Linked DNA regions of Saccharomyces cerevisiae S288C. The gene in region 4 interacts genetically with the main gene of each other region. Each region holds a gene or a part of one and is shown on either strand. Other genes may lie near its edges. The genes, in order: EAF5, VPS71, GIM5 and RPN4.

The links.
Region 1: mutations in RPN4 (region 4) and EAF5 together harm fitness more than expected from each alone (negative genetic interaction), as found in Saccharomyces cerevisiae (6 studies listed by BioGRID, with this or other methods).
Region 2: mutations in RPN4 (region 4) and VPS71 together harm fitness more than expected from each alone (negative genetic interaction), as found in Saccharomyces cerevisiae (5 studies listed by BioGRID, with this or other methods).
Region 3: mutations in RPN4 (region 4) and GIM5 together harm fitness more than expected from each alone (negative genetic interaction), as found in Saccharomyces cerevisiae (8 studies listed by BioGRID, with this or other methods).

The regions. Positions count from the first base shown.
Region 1 is NC_001137.3:118,051-123,906, reverse strand, and holds EAF5 (Eaf5p), read right to left. Parts: upstream 2,437-5,856; coding exon 1,597-2,436; downstream 1-1,596. Other genes in the region: GTT3 (Gtt3p), read right to left, coding at 1-250; PMP2 (proteolipid ATPase), read left to right, coding at 978-1,109; SUMO ligase MMS21, read left to right, coding at 2,606-3,409; PXP1 (putative indolepyruvate decarboxylase family protein), read left to right, coding at 3,608-5,290. UniProt on the Saccharomyces cerevisiae protein: Component of the NuA4 histone acetyltransferase complex which is involved in transcriptional activation of selected genes principally by acetylation of nucleosomal histone H4 and H2A. The NuA4 complex is also involved in DNA repair.
Region 2 is NC_001145.3:194,413-200,198, reverse strand, and holds VPS71 (Vps71p), read left to right. Parts: upstream 1-4,443; coding exon 4,444-5,286; downstream 5,287-5,786. Other genes in the region: YML040W (gag protein), read right to left, coding at 2,249-3,571; carnitine O-acetyltransferase CAT2, read right to left, coding at 5,399-5,786. UniProt on the Saccharomyces cerevisiae protein: Participates in the catalytic exchange of histone H2A for the H2A variant HZT1, an euchromatin-specific factor, leading to chromatin remodeling and changes in transcription of targeted genes. Indirectly involved in vacuolar protein sorting.
Region 3 is NC_001145.3:80,637-85,967, reverse strand, and holds GIM5 (Gim5p), read right to left. Parts: upstream 3,694-5,331; coding exon 3,678-3,693; intron 3,595-3,677; coding exon 3,119-3,594; downstream 1-3,118. Other genes in the region: UTP14 (Utp14p), read right to left, coding at 179-2,878; DNA repair protein RAD10, read left to right, coding at 3,855-4,487; YML096W (putative asparagine synthase), read right to left, coding at 4,482-5,331.
Region 4 is NC_001136.10:413,724-418,411, forward strand, and holds RPN4 (stress-regulated transcription factor RPN4), read right to left. Parts: upstream 2,986-4,688; coding exon 1,390-2,985; downstream 1-1,389. Other genes in the region: phosphoglycerate mutase family protein GPM2, read left to right, coding at 230-1,165; oxysterol-binding protein related protein OSH2, read right to left, coding at 3,940-4,688. UniProt on the Saccharomyces cerevisiae protein: Acts as a transcriptional activator of a number of genes encoding proteasomal subunits. Binds to a PACE (proteasome-associated control element) DNA sequence 5'-GGTGGCAAA-3'.

The DNA.
Region 1 (5,856 bases), on a different chromosome or scaffold from region 4:
CAGATCCGGATCCGTATTCGTTCCGTTCATCCTTTGACTGGTCCACTGTCATCGACTCATAAAAGGACCTTAGTTCCGGGTAGTCGTCTTTAAAATCCACAGGTTTCTCAAGATGATTCAAGTGCGATTCGAGGTAATCGATCATATCACTCTTCTTGGCATAATTGGGGAAGCCGTCAATTTCCAGCTTGTTGGCCAGGTCAATTAGGTCCGCCTTCTTCCAGCGACTAAAAGTTGACTTGGTCGGCATATTGTATTATAATGATCTGTGATGGGCTGTAATGCACTTTCACTTTTGTTTTCTCCCCTTGTATATAGATATTTTCGCACGTTGTTTACGTATTGTGTAGTTCTTTTTGTTATGAGTGACGAATGCACGCAAGTAGCGCGCAGGAAATTATCATCATATACGTATATCATCATATACGATTTACCACTTTTAGCACATTAACAGCTCGGGAAAGAGTTTCGGAACTCGGAAAAAGCACGACAAACGAGGGCGAGCCACTAAATTACCGCAATCCTACGACCACAGCAGCCCGGGCCCTCTCCAAAACCGCGCTCTAGCCCGCTCTGCTTACTCCCTGTGCAGCGCCGCCCGCGGTAGCACTGGCCAACACCCTGACGCAACTCGTCACCACGCTGTTGAGCTGTTTTCGAAATCCGTCCGCAGCCCTCCCTAGCTTTTGCATCAAAAAAAACCTCTCGCTATTTTTCCGGCGCGGATACTTAATTTCCTTAACGAATTACAGAACTTTTTTCTCTCTTTCTCTTCCACACCTTTTGGTTTAAATAAACAGTGAAAAAAACTAAAATTCCGTAATCACAACTCAATTTCCTTTCCTTCCTCTTGGTTAATATAAAATCAATTCTTCTTCCCTTCCAGTTTTTTCTCTTTCGTCCTTCCTTCTTCCTTTCTCTTTTTCTCCATCGTATACATACAAAACAATAAATAGTACAATAACAATTATACAAAGATGTTGATGAGCACGTTACCAGGTGGTGTTATCTTAGTTTTTATTCTAGTCGGTTTGGCTTGTATCGCCATCATTTCTACCATTATCTACAGAAAATGGCAAGCTAGACAAAGAGGTTTACAAAGATTCTAAGCGATCACTAGCAAGCCAAACGAGCTTGATGTTGTTTTCTCTTAGTTATCCTCTTTTTTTTTTTTTTTTCAATTACTGAATATTAATGAATAAATTAGACCTCTTTTCTCCCCAACCCTTTTAATTTCTAATAATTAATTAATTTTTCCTGTGTGTGTGCTATATTCCTACTTTGTATCTGTGCTGTTCGATTCCTCTGTTGGAACGATGTGATTTGCGTGGGCGTTTTATCGCAAAAAAGTTTTGGGCATGCGGGCGTGAATGGATGTTGTTTGCCGTGTGTGGGCAAATACACCCTGCTCTTCGTTTTGTTTGTCCCGTTCTTTCCCATTTTTACCTACCTACTATGTTTTTTTTTGAGAAACATGTCGCTTCATTTGTTATATATTGTTCTGTTAAAGAATTGTGTGTGTATTTTTTTAATAAAATAGTATATAATAGTAATGTTACAAGACTTTAGATTTTCGAAGTGTCGCCTACTATCTCCTTACTCTAGTGCTCTTCTCATGAACTGCACCGTATCATCCAATTCAAACTGCACTTGTCTAGCCAATTTCCAGTCGTCCGTACCAATGACCTTTCGCATTACACCGTCCGTTATGCTCTTTTGAAGAATCAGCTGCAGTTCATGAACGCTGCCGGGCGTTTCGTTCTTTATGTCTTCGTAATTTATCTCATTCTTGATAATGCTACCATCGGGACTCTTGAATAGCTTCTGAAAATTCCCAGTTTTACTTTCCAATTTATTCAGAACGGTATCTCTGTATAATTTCAATAGTTTTTCTCTTTTTGGGTCCATTGAATGCGCCATGTGTGGCGTAGTCGTAGTTATAGTAGCACTGGTACCAGCAGATCCACTTTTGCCAGCATTTGCATGTGGTTGCAGTTGCGATGCACCGGTCTTTATACCGTTCTTCAATATCTCATCCTCCATCATCCTTATTTGTTCGACCTGCGTTTTCTTGAATCGATCGTACTTTTCGTCAAGGAGCTTCTCGATATCATGCATTTCCAAACCGTGTAGACTAAGTTGTCCATCGTTTAGTGTTGTTCTGTACTCTGGGAATAAATTCTTAACTATGGTCAGGATATCGTTGATGCCCAGTTTCCTGTTTCCATTTGCCACGTTGCTTTGCCTTCTTAAATTTGTCAGCTCGTTGATTAGCAAATTGTTTTGTATTTCGTTAGTCAACTTGACTAGCGATATTCGAAGATTATTCCCAATCATGTTGATTCCTCCCCCGTTCCTAACCAGTTCTTCATTCTTGTTGGAAATTAAAGTGTGTATTAGCTGCAACACTACCAATTCACTTACCTCTTTATCCATCTATGCGTTCCTTTGATTCTGGTTACTCCGGCACGCAGAAGTATCTTTTTACCAGTGCTTCTCTGGTTATTTTCTTCCTCTTTTCCTGTGTAGAAAAAAACTTGCTAAAATAATCGTGTCAGTTAAAGAAACCAAGGCAAGACTATATAAAAAAAGAATAACTTTAAAAATGGCCTTGAACGATAATCCTATACCCAAGTCAGTTCCTCTACACCCAAAATCAGGTAAGTACTTCCATAATTTACATGCCCGAGACTTATCAAATATATATCAACAATGCTACAAACAAATTGATGAGACCATAAATCAATTAGTGGATTCTACATCTCCTTCCACCATCGGCATTGAAGAGCAGGTCGCAGATATTACTAGCACCTACAAACTCCTCTCGACATACGAATCGGAATCCAACTCATTTGACGAACATATTAAAGATTTAAAAAAAAATTTCAAACAATCCTCAGATGCCTGTCCGCAAATCGACCTTTCTACCTGGGATAAATATCGTACCGGAGAACTCACCGCTCCCAAATTATCTGAATTATATCTAAATATGCCCACACCAGAGCCTGCAACCATGGTTAATAACACAGATACACTCAAGATACTAAAAGTGTTGCCGTACATATGGAATGATCCAACTTGTGTAATACCGGATCTGCAAAACCCCGCAGACGAAGACGATCTACAAATAGAAGGTGGTAAAATTGAATTGACTTGTCCTATCACCTGCAAACCTTACGAAGCACCATTGATATCAAGAAAATGTAATCACGTCTTCGATAGAGACGGCATTCAAAACTATTTACAAGGATACACGACAAGAGATTGCCCGCAAGCAGCGTGTTCTCAAGTCGTTTCAATGAGGGATTTTGTAAGAGACCCTATTATGGAACTAAGGTGTAAGATCGCCAAGATGAAAGAATCTCAGGAACAGGATAAAAGAAGTAGTCAAGCCATCGATGTTTTATGAAAACAAAATTATTGTTTCTCTTATCCGAGCCCTTCGGCCCGAAGTTCAAGCAAAGCTAACTAAAGAAAAAAGTTGGAAATTTACAAAAGGTTGGTATATAACCACATTATATATAAAGGAAAAAAAAGGCATTGGTTACTTTTATGTGATAAGAAGAATATACTCTCTACATTCAAACCGTCACAACCATCCATCAATATGACCACGACCGCTACCCAACACTTCGCTCAACTTTTACAAAAATATGGCATCGACACAGTCTTTGGAATTGTGGGCATCCCTATTGTCCAACTAGCGGATACGATGGTTGCCAACGGTATCAAATTCATTCCATGCAGGAACGAACAGGCTGCCTCATATGCAGCCTCTGCTTATGGTTATATTAGTGATAAGCCCGGCGTGTTACTTATTGTCGGGGGCCCCGGTTTAATCCACGCACTGGCTGGTATATACAACTCAATGAGTAATAGGTGGCCTCTTCTAGTAATTGCAGGGAGTTCTTCTCAAAGTGATATACATAAAGGCGGGTTTCAAGAGTTGGATCAAGTTAGTCTTTTGTCCCCATTTTTGAAGTTTACCGGAAAGTTAACCCCTGACAATATTGACATGATTACTCAGAAGGCTTTGAATTACTGTATACAAGGCACTGCAGGGGTTTCTTACATAGACGTCCCTGCAGATTTTATTGAGTATGAAAAACCCTTAGAAGGAAACGACCGTACAGGAAATGAATTACCGATGATATTAACTCCAAACATATGTGGCCCTGATCCGTCGAAGATCAAAAAAGTCGTACAGCTTATTTTGCAACATAAAAATAAAAATATTCTGATTGTTATTGGAAAGGGTGCGGTAAAAAACTCACACGAAATCCGCAGACTAGTAAATACGTTCAATCTACCATTTTTACCCACCCCAATGGCTAAGGGAATTGTCCCAGACTCTTCTCCACTGAACGTTTCATCTGCAAGATCTCAAGCATTGAAAATAGCGGATATTGTTCTTGTTCTCGGGGCAAGATTAAACTGGATATTGCATTTTGGTACTTCACCCAAATGGAACTCAGAATCCATATTCATCCAGTTCGATTCCAATCCCGAAACCTTGGGGGATAACAATGTCTCACCTGGTGCTGACCTTTCCATATGGGGAGATATAGGCTTGAGCGTAACCGCTTTAGTTGAGGAATTGACTCGCCAAGATTCCTGCTGGAAGTATAGTGGTGTTAAGCAAGAAATACGAGAGAAAATTCAACTGAATCAAACTCGTCTATTGAGGAAAGAGAAGACTAGAGGGGCACAATTGAATTACAACCAGGTTTATGGAACATTGAGGCCTCTTATCGATGATTACAGGACAATACTTGTGACGGAGGGAGCAAATACTATGGATATTGCGCGTATTTCATTCCCTACAGACGCTCCAAGGCGCCGTTTAGACGCAGGGACCAACGCGACTATGGGGATTGGGCTCGGATATGCTCTTGCATGCAAGGCATCTCATCCGGAACTCGATGTGGTGCTGATTCAGGGTGATTCCGCATTTGGATTCTCTGCCATGGAAATTGAAACGGCAGTAAGGTGTCAGCTGGCATTGGTCATCGTTGTGATGAACAATAGCGGTATTTACCATGGAGAAAAGGATATAGAGGGTGATTTACCTCCAACGGCACTAAGCAAGAACTGCCGTTACGATCTCGTAGGCAAAGGACTGGGTGCCAATGATTTTTTTGTCAACACAATAAGCGAACTGAGCAGATGCTTCCAACAAGCCGTGCAGCTTTCTCGGACTAAAAGAGAAACAAGTGTCATCAACGTTATCATTGAGCCTGGCGAACAAAAGCAAATTGCCTTTGCCTGGCAGAATAAACCGCGTTTATAGTAAATATGCATGTATATATATATATATATATATATATATGTTCATCTCTCTTATAGATGTCAATCTAAATACTTACAACACACATTAATGAATACCTCGTATACGTTTAAGGGCAAATGTACTCTCGCAGAAGGAAATATTGCAAGTAACTTGGATAACTAAAGCCGAGTTAAAGATCTGCCAATTGAACATAACATGGTAGTTACATATACTAGTAATATGGTTCGGCACACATTAAAAGTATAAAAACTATCTGAATTACGAATTACATATATTGGTCATAAAAATCAATCAATCATCGTGTGTTTTATATGTCTCTTATCTAAGTATAAGAATATCCATAGTTAATATTCACTTACGCTACCTTTTAACCTGTAATCATTGTCAACAGGATATGTTAACGACCCACATTGATAAACGCTAGTATTTCTTTTTCCTCTTCTTATTGGCCGGCTGTCTCTATACTCCCCTATAGTCTGTTTCTTTTCGTTTCGATTGTTTTACGTTTGAGGCCTCGTGGCGCACATGGTACGCTGTGGTGCTCGCGGCTGGGAACGAAACTCTGG
Region 2 (5,786 bases), on a different chromosome or scaffold from region 4:
CTTAATTTCAGTTTCATTATCTTCTAATGATCTTTTCTTACTGTTGATAGTAGTATAGGCATTAGAGTCACCAATACCACCCAAACTGGAATTAGTTTGATGAGAATTTATCGGTGGGAGTTCTTTAAATGGGTCAGGGAATTCGGTAGGAGATTCTGGAGGTAGATCAGGGAGTGGGAGATCAGCGATGATAGATTCCTCGGTATTCTGTTCAGAAACAGTAGTTGGCGTTTTGATAGGAACAATATTGTGCGATGAATTATTTTCCGGTGGAGAAGCATCGATTGAAGGTGAACGGTGTATAATCCTTTTCTCAGTCTCTTGGTCACTTATCTGCGGAACAGTTTTGTTGTTGGTACCACCCGTACTGGATATTGGTACGTTTGTATGATTAGTCTCATTTTCACTGTACGAGTCTGAGTGTCTGAAATCTTTAGATTTACTGGCGTGCGACGACTCATGTGTGTTAGATTGGGACATGGGAGCAAGTAAAGGAACATTTAATTTATGCATACCACCCGAACCGGTACTCTCGATATTGGAAATTTGGGGGGTGCTAGATCTCTTCTTTGATGGAAGAATATTAGATTCAGATATGTTGGGGTCAACTTCTCTGGGTGCGCGAATATTGGTTTTAGAAACACGTTTCGAATCTTCAGTATGAGTTGACGGAGGTGTGGAATCGGTTGGACTCACAGCTTTTGAAAGGACATTTCTCGGTTGCTCAGGATGTAGTTCGATGTCAGATTGGAAGTCATGGTCAGATTCTATGTTAAGATCATCGGATTGTTGGATCTCATTTGACGCAATGAACGATTGATATGAAGCAGTTAAACGGTTTAAGTCTTCATCGAAAGTGAGTGCGTCGTAATTGAATTGATCTAATCTGGATTCCTTGCCCTGAAGAATAACATAGTTAGTTGTATCTACTGTCTTCTTTAAGGATGGAAGATAGATGATATATCCATAAGAGTTTCGAGACGGATGTAGAGCGTAGCCTGGGATGCCACGAGGATGTATTTTGGAGTTAGGGTTGTGATCATTGACGATAACAGGTTGACCGAAAGGTAACAAAGTACTGATATCAAGTCCTGCCAAGCCAGCATGTTGTCTTGCAGATTTTTTGCTTTTAGGTGAAGCTAGTGAATTTCTCACAATAGTAGAAAATTCGATTGCAGAGAACCATAAATGGTTCGGTAAACCACTACATTGCAGTTGAGTACGGCAGTCATCTAATAAGGTACGGTTGAGCCGTTCAGCGACTCCATGTGCTCGGGAATCCGCTGTGGTTGTATAGCATGGAGTTATACCATTTTTTTCAAGGAATTTATGGAGAGTTCTGTTAGTATACTCAGAACCACGGTCCATTTGTATAACCAAGACACTGGCCTGAAACTGGTTCTTAATAAAAGCTAGTATCGTAGTAAAAACATCGAGGATAGAGTCCTCGCGACGGTCGTGTAATGGATAAACCCAACGGAATTTTGTTGTCTCATCAGTAAATGAGATGAAATAGGATGGTGCACTTTTTGGTAGGTTGTGAACTGGACCAAATATGTCAGTATGTAGGTATTGAAAGGGTTCGTATGAATTTTGGTATTTTAGTCGTGAACCTTTGATATGTCTGTGTTTGGTGCTTTTGCCGATTAAACAATCAGGACATTGATAGTCAATAGCACTAGACCTGTCGACATCTGATTCGTTAAAATACGTGATGGTGTTATTTTTAAGTGAGTATCGAATTGTCTGTGCATTGGCATGTGCAAGCATTCGATGAATGAAAGGATAAGGATATTTGCGTGTACTTTCACTTGTATGGACATTATTGATGGTGGGTACGGAGATATTTGATGGAAGCAAGTACTTTTTAGATACCCAGTAAAAGTCTCCATATTTTACGATAGGTGCAAGTACAGTGCCGTCAGATCGTTCTAAGACGTTTTTGGTAAAGCATGCTGTGATATCTACTGCAGCCAATTCATTCAAACTGAGTAAGTCATAGGCTATGTTAGGAGTGTGCAATACCTTTATTGATGTTTTGGTGTTGTCCTGGAAGTGAAATTGTAGGTCACCAATAGCGTTAATTGGTATATTTCTTTTTTGAGCATCAACTACGTTTATGTCAGGATTAGATGATGCTGAGTGTATGTGATGAGCAGATCTTATAAGGGTTCGTGATGCTCCTGAATCGAGAAGGAGGTGTCCAGGGAGTTCATCATCAGAATGATTAGTGTGATTTACCGTAGATTCAGTAAGTTCCTGGCCTAAGGTGAAGGTCGTGCTTATTGTTCAATTGAATCGGTTCAGTAGTTGATTTACTGATGGAATCGTTGTCCGTGCTGGGAGAGTTATTAGATGTGGATACATTGTGAGCCCTGGCTGTTTTCGATTTCGAATTATTTGTTTTTTGAGGATTCCGAGCTATAACTTTGGGTTTGGTTGTATTCGTATAGCTGCGAGAATCATTCTTCTCATCACTCAGATTTCTCCTGTAATTAGGTTTGCTGTTTCTCGATCCCTGTTGTTCTTCATAAATAGCATGGATATCTAAGAACAGTTCAGCGACTGTCATATTTAGATGTCGATGACGTGTGTAGCGTAAAAATTTATATTCGCCAGATAGACCTCTCATAATTAATTGGCATGCGACCTTGTTATTGATATGAATGCCATTATTGTTCAGTCTGTCGATAATGTTTGTGACTTTTGTTTCAAATGCATCTGCAGGTGTACTGCCATTATATTGCAAATTTGCCAGGGTCACAATGTCGTTTGCCTCTTGGGTATCAGATTGCATTTTTTCAATACTTTTGGAAAGAATTTTCATGATATCCGTATAATCAACGGATAGGATGTCTTTGACCCAGGTAGGTAGGAATTGAGAGGGAGCAAATATTTGAAAAGTGTTATACAAGAAGGTGAGTTCATCATCAGTGATCTGACGTACGGGTTTTCCGTTTACTGTCGGAATAATACCACCGAGATTCGAGTTTTGTAAAAATTTGATGTATGTTTTAACCCAATTTGGAAAGTCATTAGGTGAGGTTAACATTGGTGGTGGTCTGACATATTTTTTAGTGGATGTCATATCAGAGTCCGCTGAGGATGAATCAGTAAATGTATTACCTGACTCAGGTGATGGAGTGCTCAGAGGCGTTCCAACTGATGATGGATACTGCGGAAACTGTGATTGTGGCCCAGGTGGAAAGTACATAGGCGACATTTGATAAGGTGTATACGGAATCATAGATGGGTGTCCGTAAAATGACCAACCAGATGGATTGGCTTGGTTTTGGGTCATCATGCACTGCTGTGGGTACGGCCCATTCTGTGGAGGTGGTACTGAAGCAGGTTGAGGAGAGGCATGATGGGGGTTCTCTGGAACAGCTGATGAAGCAGGTGTTGTTGTCTGTTGAGAGTTAGCCTTAGTGGAAGCCTTCTCACATTCTTCTGTTTTGGAAGCTGAAACGTCTAACGGATCTTGATTTGTGTGGACTTCCTTAGAAGTAACCGAAGCACAGGCGCTACCATGAGAAATATGTGAATGTTGAGATAATTGTTGGGATTCCATTGTTGATAAAGGCTATAATATTAGGTATACAGAATATACTAGAAGTTCTCCTCGAGGATATAGGAATCCTCAAAATGGAATCTATATTTCTACATACTAATATTACGATTATTCCTCATTCCGTTTTATATGTTTATATTCATTGATCCTATTACATTATCAATCCTTGCGTTTCAGCTTCCACTAATTTAGATGACTATTTCTCATCATTTGCGTCATCTTCTAACACCGTATATGATAATATACTAGTAATGTAAATACTAGTTAGTAGATGATAGTTGATTTCTATTCCAACAACTAGTAACACGAATACTACTAAACAAATGATATTTTAGAGTTCCATTTCAACATTATGCACTCAATATTCATTATTGTTGTTAAGGGCTTAATATTGTAGTTGTCAGAAAACTTTTACTATTCGGTGATTCCTTAGTGGCTAAGATTCACAAGTTCACAAGGGCGTGTGGTCTAGTGGTATGATTCTCGCTTTGGGCGACTTCCTGATTAAACAGGAAGACAAAGCATGCGAGAGGCCCTGGGTTCAATTCCCAGCTCGCCCCTTTTTTTGATATTTTTTTTGGAGTATTACAAAAACGACCATTCATTAAGGAAGTGAAGTCGGTGGAATAGCTAGAGAGCTTATATTTATTTAGTCGTTGCTTTATGTAACGAAGCAATCAATAAAATATTTGTGTTCTGTAGAAATAACTTTGATCCGGGTAATAGATAATTAATAACTACTTTTTTTATAATGAACATGATGATCTTTGTGAGTATTAACAAAAGTCGAAGCGGCCCTTTCAATCTATAGTAACGTCGATATCATTGATAGATCGAAGAAAAAGAACGGATCGCTTACTCATAACAGCGAAATGAAGGCGCTAGTTGAAGAGATTGATAAGAAAACTTACAATCCTGACATATATTTCACGTCATTGGATCCTCAAGCACGTCGATATACTTCAAAGAAGATTAATAAGCAAGGCACAATATCCACCTCTAGGCCCGTAAAGCGCATAAACTACTCACTGGCAGATTTAGAGGCCAGGTTATATACTTCGAGATCTGAGGGAGATGGCAATAGTATAAGCAGACAGGATGACCGAAATAGTAAGAATTCCCATTCATTTGAAGAAAGGTACACACAACAAGAGATTCTCCAGTCGGACAGGAGGTTTATGGAACTTAACACAGAAAATTTCTCGGATTTACCAAATGTACCGACTTTATTAAGTGATCTCACAGGCGTACCACGAGATAGAATTGAATCAACAACCAAACCGATCTCACAGACCTCGGATGGTCTCTCTGCATTAATGGGTGGTTCTTCTTTTGTAAAAGAGCATTCCAAGTATGGTCATGGTTGGGTGCTTAAACCAGAAACCTTACGGGAAATACAATTATCGTATAAATCTACAAAACTACCTAAACCAAAGAGGAAGAATACCAATCGTATTGTGGCGTTAAAGAAGGTTTTAAGTTCAAAAAGAAATTTACATTCGTTTTTAGATTCTGCGCTGCTAAACTTGATGGATAAGAATGTCATTTACCACAATGTTTACAATAAACGATACTTCAAAGTGTTACCCCTAATTACGACATGCTCTATTTGCGGTGGCTACGATAGTATTTCAAGTTGCGTTAATTGTGGAAATAAGATTTGTTCTGTAAGTTGTTTTAAATTGCATAATGAAACTAGGTGCAGAAATAGATAGTAATGATCAGTATGTATTCGTAAGCCCTTTTTTCTCCCCTATTTATACGTATGTAAGTGTAGATACTTAACAAAAATATTCACAAATTAATTGAAGAGGAAAGGTGAAAAATTCATAACTTTGCTTTTCGTTTATTCTCATTTTCCAAGGCGTCAAAAATTTCATCAGCAGCTTGAGATAAATAATAGTGTAATCTGTTAACACTGGCTCCACTCTTGGCTGGTTTGTTGACAATATTGATATGCAGCCACTCGTTATTCAACATGTATGCCAGTCCAAACCCGTTGTCATTTACTTGAGACCAACCATAACCGTCAAAATATTCCGAAGATAGTTGAGATGTGGAGATCAACCAAGTTGAAGAATAATTAAATAAGGGATCTTTGAAAAGGGGCGGAATTTGGTCATCATTAGATTTTAGCATATTCTTTAGACCGAAGAAATGACGATCGACACCATTACCATTTGCAGCATTTTTCAGGTACGTAGAATGCTCTTTT
Region 3 (5,331 bases), on a different chromosome or scaffold from region 4:
AATCACCCATCTCACTCAACTTATCCAAAAGAAAGCCAATTGTGTATATAACTTACATAACCTTTAAATGATTTTTTTCTAATTATTCCAGTATTACTATTCTACACAATGCATAATAAATAGATATAAAAAGTGGAATGTGCCACATATGCATTTTTTTACCACCAATAAATATCAGTTACTTAAATGGTGCCTTCAAAGGATCAATAACTTGGCCTGGCTTAGTCATGATTCTCGGTTTGATAAGCTCTTGATGAGATGCTCTGGATGTCCATTCTTGACCTATCGGCATACGTAAAGATCTTTCATATTGTTCTCTATTTTCGAATGGGAATGGTACCGCTGAAGATTGGTATTTCAAGTTTTTCTTATTAACTTTTTCATTTATGATCACATTTTGTAGATTCTTATCTCTTCTTTTGTCTTTATTAACAACACCCTTAACCTTTTTGATGAATTTACGCTTCTTATTTTTTGGTTTAGAACCTGCACCGGCCCATTCACCCCAACCAGGTAAAGTGGTATCAACTTCTTTATCATCTTCATCATCAATGACACGTTTCTTTTCCTCCTGAAATTCTGCTACCACGTCGTCGCCAGCAAAGGCTTCCGCAATGACGTCTTGCTGCTTGAACATGAATACATTATCCCCTTGTTCGTCATCAGAACCACCATATGGATCGACTATCTTTAGCCGTGTAGAATCATCCGCCGTCAACAAGAGATCTTCATCATCGTTTGACTTACCTTTCTTCTTTTTCTTTTGCTTTAGCTCAGCTTTCTCCATTTTGTTCATGGCCTTAACATTTTTAGAACTGTCTTTGTCAATAACGTTAACTTTGGAAGATTGTTTCTTGACAGTGTGTTCTTCATCACTTTCATTAGCTAACCAAGGATTAACATCTTTTGCTTCTTCATCCTGTTGATTATTCTGACCGTCTTGAAGAGGTTCACCATCACTTTCCTCCTCCACAATTATTGCGCCTTCTGCGTTAGTTCTTGCATTTTTCGATTGCCCACTATTCTTGGCCCTTAGTCGGTTTTCCAAACTTCTTGATTCGTCAACTTTATTCTCTTTTCTAGTGTGGTCATTTAGTTCATTCATGTCTTTGTTGGATTCCAAGGAACCTGGGGTATATATTCTTCTGCCCTTATTTATTTGAATATTCTCTCCATTCGTCTCTTCCTCGTCACTTTCGAAGAGCTTAATATCATCACCATTTTCAACGGCCCTTAATTGACGTAAGGTTTCTTTGTTCGCCTCTCTTTCTCTAGCTTCACCATTCTTCATAAAGGCCATATTCATTACGCCAGTTTTACCCAATTTACTCTTCAATGCTTCTGAGTCTATATTCTCTTTCTCCTCATTTTCAACATCACTTAATGTTTGCACACGACCATCCTCTTCATCATCAGAATTTCTATCCAACATTTTTGCCTTTAAACGTTCACCTTGTCTTAGCATCTCTTCCATTTCTTCTCTGGTTTCAGCGTCATTTGTCATACCATGTTTGATCATATCTTTAGCCCACTTGGAATTTGTCTTGTGTTTTAGAGTCATTCTTTCTTTAGCCCTAGCGATATCATGATCTTCGTTGTCTTCGTCGCTGGAAACAGCAGCTAGCTCTCTATTTTTCATCAATTCCTTTTTCTTGATCTTACGATATGTCTTAGATTTTATTTTCTTCAACCTCCTAGCTTTTCTTTCTTCTCTAAACATCAATTCTCTCATCAATCTCATTTCGGTAGTCCTCTTTCTCATCTCCTCGGGTGTCATTTTAGCAGTGCTCAACTCTTCAAACTTTGAGTCTTTTTCTGGGTTCGCTAAATTACTCTCTTGAAGAACTTGATCTACCTTCTCCTGTAATTCTGTTTGAGGAACATCTTGAGTTCTAGTGAAAGCCGAGGCGTGGTTATGTTCGGTGGGTTTGTTCAGCGGGAAGATTAAATGATCAGCCCTTCTGTTCTGTTGGACGATATCATTCCACTTACTCACTTCTTGCCTAGAGATCTCGTATGCTGCCTTACGATCGTGTCTTTGTTGGATACGTTGTGGTAGCGGAACTTCATACGTCGACGACTTACCCTTAAGCAAGTTAGCGTTTTCAATAACTTGCCTGTCATCAATAACGTTCATCATATCCGTCAAACTCAATTTCCCAGAAGCTCCACTAGCTGCATTTGCAGAGGGCAAAACATACTCATTGGCCTCACCTGAGCCATACGTATCTAGTCTCTTTGGAGCTTTACTTTTGGTTTCATCAATCAGTTTTGAGGTAATTGTATTCAATTCGATGTCTTCTTCATCTTCAGATATTTCGTCGAAGGGATCCTCTTCCTCTTCATCATCTTCAGATTCCGATTCGCTTTCTTCGGAACTGCTTGATTCGGAACTTATATCTGTATCTTGCAATTTTAATTGTGGAGAAGCGTCTTCGTCATCATTGCCGTTACTCTGTGCGGTTTTCTCATCCATGTCCCACACTTGAGACAGTGGCATCAAATCTTCTTCATCAATGGAAGTATACCCACCTTCATCCTCTTCTTCTTGGTAGTTTGCATTCTCCTTCTTGTCACGAATAGTTTGTGAGAATTTGGAATTCAAAATGTCATAGTCATCATCAGAGCCCAACGCTTCATCAGAGTTCAACTCCTCATCTTCAAACGACTCAGAATCGATATCATCTTCATCACTGTTAGTGTCACCTTTTGACCTTTTTAACAAGTTGACAACTGTACCATTACGACGAGCATCATGTCTTTTGTCATTGTCGCTGGAGTTATCGAATTCACCATTAATTTCTCTCTCAGCAAGTTGCAAAGCATCCAAAACTCTTCTAGAACTCTTGGATCTGCTCTTAGATTTCTTTTTTGCCATATTTAAGTTAGCTTATTTTGTCTTGAAGCCTCTTTTATTAGTATATAACAAGATGTTATTGAATGCACACTTAATGAATTTTTTCAGCTCATCGCCATAGGAATTTGAAAAATTTTCAATGGCCTTTTCCGGAAAACTACAAAGTGACGATAAATAAAAAATTACGTTGCATATAGATAAACGTATATCAGATGGCTACAAATGAGATATGAAAAATCGTAGGAAAAGCAAAAGAGTTACCTAGGCTGTAGACGACTCCTTTTTTTGTTGCTGCTGTTGTTGTTTACTCATCGCTTCATGCTGTCTAATAGCGGCTTGTCTTATTTGGGCCTCGATGGACAAGGAATACTGGGTCTTTTCCTTAATAATATCTTGGATCTGTACAGATTCTTTGTTAAGCTTGTCTACTTTCTTTTGGTAAAATGCGATTGCTGCTTCAGCGCTCTTTTCAACGTAATATCCTGTACCAATGTCGACCATGAATTTCTTATTGTCTACAATCTTACCTGGGATGTATAATGATGCAGATGCTGGAACCAGTAGTTTTTGCCCTTCATTTCCTGCTTGGGAGACTGTTTTAATATCATCAATACATTCTGTGAACTTGCCCTTAGCCATGGTTAATGCTTGCAAGGACTGTGTGAAATGCTGCAATTCTTGGTCGAATTGCTGTTTTACAGCATTCAGCTGCTCGGGATTTAGTTTAGTTAAATCGACTAAGTTTCGAACATGTAGTAACTTAAAAGTTAGTAAAGTGTCTGTACGGTGGCAACAACGAAGGAGCTATTCATTTACATACTTTTTTGAGAGGACATGGCTTGATTTTTACAGTGCTCTTTCTTGTTTGGGTCACAGCAAGATTTTCATCTAAGACACTTTTCTATTTAAAATCGTTAGAACAAAAAAGAAAATTGTAACTTATGAGACAGCCACGCAACACAAAAAAGGGCATAAACAAAGTTGGTTATCCTAGAAGATGAACAATACTGATCCTACTTCATTTGAAAGTATATTGGCTGGTGTGGCCAAATTGAGAAAGGAAAAGAGTGGTGCAGATACTACTGGATCTCAATCGTTAGAAATAGATGCATCAAAACTCCAGCAGCAGGAACCGCAAACATCAAGACGCATAAATTCAAACCAGGTCATAAACGCCTTCAATCAGCAAAAACCGGAAGAATGGACCGACTCAAAGGCTACAGATGACTATAATCGAAAGAGACCCTTCAGGAGTACTCGACCGGGAAAAACTGTACTAGTGAACACTACCCAAAAAGAAAATCCACTCCTGAACCACTTAAAGAGCACCAATTGGAGATATGTATCTTCAACAGGAATTAATATGATATACTACGACTATCTAGTTCGTGGAAGAAGTGTACTGTTCTTAACTTTGACTTATCACAAATTATATGTCGATTATATCTCTAGGAGAATGCAGCCCTTATCTAGAAACGAAAATAATATACTGATATTCATAGTAGACGATAACAACTCTGAAGATACCCTTAATGACATTACAAAACTATGTATGTTCAACGGATTTACTCTACTTTTAGCATTTAATTTTGAACAAGCTGCAAAATATATTGAATATTTGAATTTATGAACAATTCCTATTTTCTTTTAATAAATCTGTTCCATGCTTATTACCATCCTTTGTCATTTTAGCGCTTTTAGCACCGAATTGAATGGCCCTTTTTGGTTCTGATGATATTCCATCCAACTTCAAATACTGCGAGGCAACTTTTCGAAGGATTAATTTGTTAACCTTGAAATTAATGGGAATTTCTGCTGTAGATAACTTTATAACATATTCATCTAAAAATGGGTATCTCACCTCCACGCCATTATGAGCTATCACTTTATCATCACGATTCAGGTTGCGATCATAAATGTTGTTTATTTGCCTTGTAAGTTCCTCCACAAGTTCATGGGGTGGTTTGTTGGCAAACTTGTGATATCCACCGTAGAGTTCGTCTGCTCCCAGTCCGCTGAATAACACTATCCCATGGCGCTGATATGGCGTTCTTTCCCCATTCAGAGAAGTTAAGAAACCTCTACCTCTCGACGCAAAAAAAAAAGCAATGGCTATAGACAAGTCCATTTCAGTCTGTTTAGGATACATTAAATTGATAACAAATGGCTTCCATTTTAAATACTCATCATAAGGAACGTCAACTTCAACCAGTTTGATATCAACATTAGGATATAAGTTTTGTAAAGTCTTTGCACTGTTAATGGACAGTTTTCTATCAGGTGTATCACTGGGAAAAAGACCAGTCCTGGGGTTTTCGAAGGATACATTTAGAAGCTCTATAACTGGTTTTCCACATTTATAATCATTTTCTTGCAACACCTCGCAGATCAACGCTACTATTACTGAACAATCAATTCCTCCTGAGAATAGTACCGCAATAGGAGAGTTTTCAATATGCCTGGGATGTATGGAC
Region 4 (4,688 bases):
CATGTTGTTATCACCCCACGACGAAGATAATACGGAGCTCACCGTTTTCTTTTTTTTTCCCTTTGGCTGAAATTTCCCACCAGAACAAACGTGACAAAATTATCTTTGAATCCAAAGTAGCTTATATATATACGTAGAAGTGTTTCGAGACACACATCCAAATACGAGGTTGTTCAATTTAAACCCAAGAATACATAAAAAAAATATAGATATATTAACTTAGTAAACAATGACTGCAAGCACACCATCCAATGTCATGACATTGTTCTTGTTAAGGCATGGACAAAGTGAATTGAATCACGAGAATATATTCTGTGGTTGGATTGACGCTAAGCTAACCGAAAAAGGTAAAGAACAAGCTCGTCATTCTGCCGAGCTAATCGAACAATATTGTAAAGCTAATAATTTGAGATTACCCCAGATTGGTTACACCTCACGTTTAATTAGGACCCAACAGACCATAGAAACGATGTGTGAAGAATTTAAGTTAAAGCCACAACTGCAGGTTGTTTACGACTTTAATAAAATCAAACTTGGAGACGAATTTGGCAGTGATGACAAGGATAATATGAAAATCCCGATTCTTCAAACTTGGAGGCTAAATGAACGTCATTACGGTTCCTGGCAGGGCCAGAGGAAACCGAATGTTTTAAAAGAATATGGTAAGGATAAATATATGTTCATTAGGAGAGATTACGAGGGTAAGCCACCACCTGTAGATCTTGACCGTGAGATGATTCAACAAGAAAATGAGAAGGGCTCTTCTACTGGGTACGAATTCAAGGAGCCAAACAGACAAATAAAATATGAATTGGAATGCAGCAATCATGACATTGTATTACCGGATTCCGAATCTCTTCGTGAAGTGGTTTATAGATTGAATCCTTTTCTACAAAATGTCATATTAAAATTAGCCAATCAATATGATGAATCTTCATGCCTGATTGTGGGCCATGGAAGTTCAGTGAGATCGCTACTGAAAATTCTGGAGGGTATATCAGATGATGACATCAAGAATGTTGATATTCCAAATGGTATCCCCTTAGTCGTTGAATTAGATAAGAATAATGGTCTTAAGTTTATCAGAAAATTCTACCTAGATCCTGAATCTGCTAAGATCAATGCTGAGAAAGTCCGTAATGAGGGTTTCATAAAAAATCCTTAAGGGGGGTAAGTATATAATATAATTGTGTATTTTCCGAAGTATAATGAAAACCAATAGAAAACTTATTATAAGTCCAATGAGGTACTTTAAAAATGTGATATTTATAAGAACATTCCTGAATGCAGATATATGATATATATTGTAAATATATATAGATGTGTATATGTATTTCCATTTTGTGTGAGGTTTTCTTCTTTTATCTCCTATATAATTTGTAACCTTAATTAACCCATGACATAACCAATATTAGCCTTTGCAAATTTTGTAACTTCTTGACGTTGTTCTAACGACAAATCTTCATGCTTCGATTTTATATGCCTTGTTAAAGCATCCAGTCTCGAAAACGTCTTCTGATAGCCCTCAGATCCAAGAATTTTTATACACTCCGAGCAACGGAAGACAATCTTCCTTTTAGCGTGAATGGTATTTTGGTGTCTCGTTAAATCATAGGACCTTGAAAATTGGGCACCACACGGTTCATTTGTAATGAGATTCATTATCTGACACGTAAATATTTCGTTATTACCGTCAGAAGATGACGTATGGGCCGATGGTGATGCAGTCGAAGGTTTCGAATTCGAATTTGTAGATGAATGTGAAGATAAGTGCTTCTTAGTATAATTAATTAGCTTCCGCCTACTAGCATTTGAGCTTACTACAGCTGATGTAGGCTTCTTTATTCTTTCTAATGTGCCGTTTTCATTACTGTTACTAACGCAACTACGGTTACTGGATGATTTTGCTGGTTTCCTTTTACCGGTAGTAGCAGTAGACGGTACGTTTGCCGAGGTTGAGGGAGATGGAAATCTTTCAAAATCAATAGTGTTTTTATTGAGGACAAAACTTTGCTTTCTTCTGTTCTTCAAGAGAGAGATATCGTAGATATCGTCTTCATCAAGATCATTATCCTCATCCTCATCCTCTATCTTCTCATGTCCCCGTTCATCTAACAGATCTTCAGATACAACACTGGAAATGCTGTCCATGTTAGAGTCAACGTAACTGTACTCATTAAATAAATGACTAGAACTCTTGGCACGACCCGTTTTTTGATCTGAGCCAAACATTGAGATTGGTGTAACATCCAATGACAGTAAAGGCTCCTCTTGGTGTTGCTCTTGTTGCAAACAATTTTCTTCTATTTCATCCTCTTCATCATCACTGATATCGTCGTCATCAGAGTCAAATTCATTGTTAAAAATAGCTCTCGCATCCTCATTGTTTATTGCGGCGCTATTATCTTGAAGTGACCACTGCATTTTCGGATTATAATTATCCTCATAGAAAAGCACTTCTTCATCATTACCATATAGATTGTCACCGTTATCGAAAAAATCGTTGGAAATTTTAACATCATAATTGAACGTATTCCGTGTCGGTACATACGGGTCTGATACTTTCATTATATTCTTTAGATTGACGGTCTTCTGCAATGGGGTTTCGCTAGCACCCTTAATCTCGTTTGGTATGAGATGGACATTATTAATCTGTCTATCGTTGGCCGTTGCTTCACTAGTCGTAAAAGAGGTGGTGGTAGTTAAAGTAGGATCCGCGTATTTGTTGAATATCGGGAAATGGTAGGTTTGTTGTGGGGGTATCGAAGCTGCACTCGATTCATTCTGGTGTTGTAATGAATGATTCCACGTAAAAGTGTTGTTTTCCTTGTTCTTATTCACCAACTTATATGGAGTAATACTAGCATTTGGATGATAGTTTTGATAATGACTCGTAAACTGACTGTGACCTGGATTAGTATGGTACAACTCGTCTTCTAAAATATCCGTTAAGGTTCTTTTTAGGCTAAGTTCCGTAGAAGCCATGATTGCTTGAAAATTCTAGAAAACTTTTGAAAAGATACAAATTAGCTATTAGTACTATCTACTATTAGTTCAACTAAAAAGCGGAGTTCTTCCTTGAGGAGAAAAGGATGAACAAAATGGAACTGATCTACTCCTTAAATATTCCACGCCAAGAAGAAAAAAGAGTTTCGGGTTTATCTTTAATTTATATTAGAGATAAAACGTATCCTCCTCCTTGAACGATAAAAAATTATCCGTGTGGGTTAGGCTGCTCATCCCGGGCTTTCCCCAAATTGGGCTTCGAACTATTCTTTCCTTATATAGAATTGCTCTCCTCAACAAGTTTCGCCGAAACGGAACTTTCTAGAACCATCACTGTAAACGGCTATTAGTAATAGCGATCACGTGATTATCCGTGGAAAGGTTCGTACGGGCTGAGGCACCTTTCTTTGAGTTCCACGGAACTTGTTATTACAGGAACAGAAAGGTAGTAAAAAAAGAAGTAACGTCCTCTCAGTGCATATAGTTTGATCTCTATAACAATCCGTAGTTGGTTTTCTCAACAATTAATATTGAATACGTTAGTGATGATTGGTTTTCAACCTCTGCCGCTAATTTAGGCACAGTTCTATCGCAGCCGTAATGGAGGCATTATATAGCACTTTAGCGTCGTAACGAAGGGTTATGGTAACCGCCTAACGATTTTATTTACTCGCTTGTTGCTTGCTTTGTAATTGGTTATATGGATTTCAAAATAATATGGTCATCTGACCATGGTGACATAACCAAAGTGTTCGAAAAGATAACTAAATTGATACATCTAGGAAAACTGAAGGAAATCCCTATTGTTAAGTAAACATACTATATATGCCAAAAGAAACAAATGTGCGGTAGAATAAAATACAATTCAGTACAATAAAATACATTCAAAATACATACAAGTACCAGGAAAAAAGCTCGCATAAAAAAGGCGTGTTAAAAAATGTCACCACAATCTTTCAAATCATGATCTCTTCTTTTAACCCAATATTTGCCCGTATATCTCCAATATTTAGCTTTTGTGATGGGATGAGTATCCCTGACGAACCATTGTGGGTGATATTCAAGGTTATTTTCCTCCCTTTTTCTGCGTGCTGCTCTTTGCTTTTCTTCAACTCTGAATTTCTCATCACCAGCTTCGTCATAACGCCCATCTTCCATTGCTCTTTGATCTGGTCTCAAACGTGTATCTGTGGGGGGTAACCATGGCAATAGATGTGGTTGTGGAGCATTCAGCGTGATAGCAAAAGGTGTTAAATTGAATGGCTCCTCAGGACGGTCGTTTGCCTTCCATATTAAAAACTTCGTTCCGTCATCCGTAGGCCCATTCCCTGCTGATGCAGCGGTTCTAGTTTTCTCCAACGAGAGATCGCCATCTTTTACTACTTTCTTGGCAAAAATAGCTTCATTCCAGTGTCCTCCTAGGATCCACACCTTCTGTTTTTTCTTGTTGTAGACTTCGCCTGTGATTTCATATGCTCCTGATGACCTCCATCCCCTTGCTTTGAAATACAACTTGCAATGATCACCGGTTGTGTGATTGACAACGTTCACTTCACCGTGGTTATCAACTTGTGGATTACCAATGAGAATACCTATAACAGTATTGTTGGGCTTCTTCCAAGTATACAGTTCCTCTTTTTCATTGTCATTTGGACGCAACTTAATGTGCCATAATCCTAAGT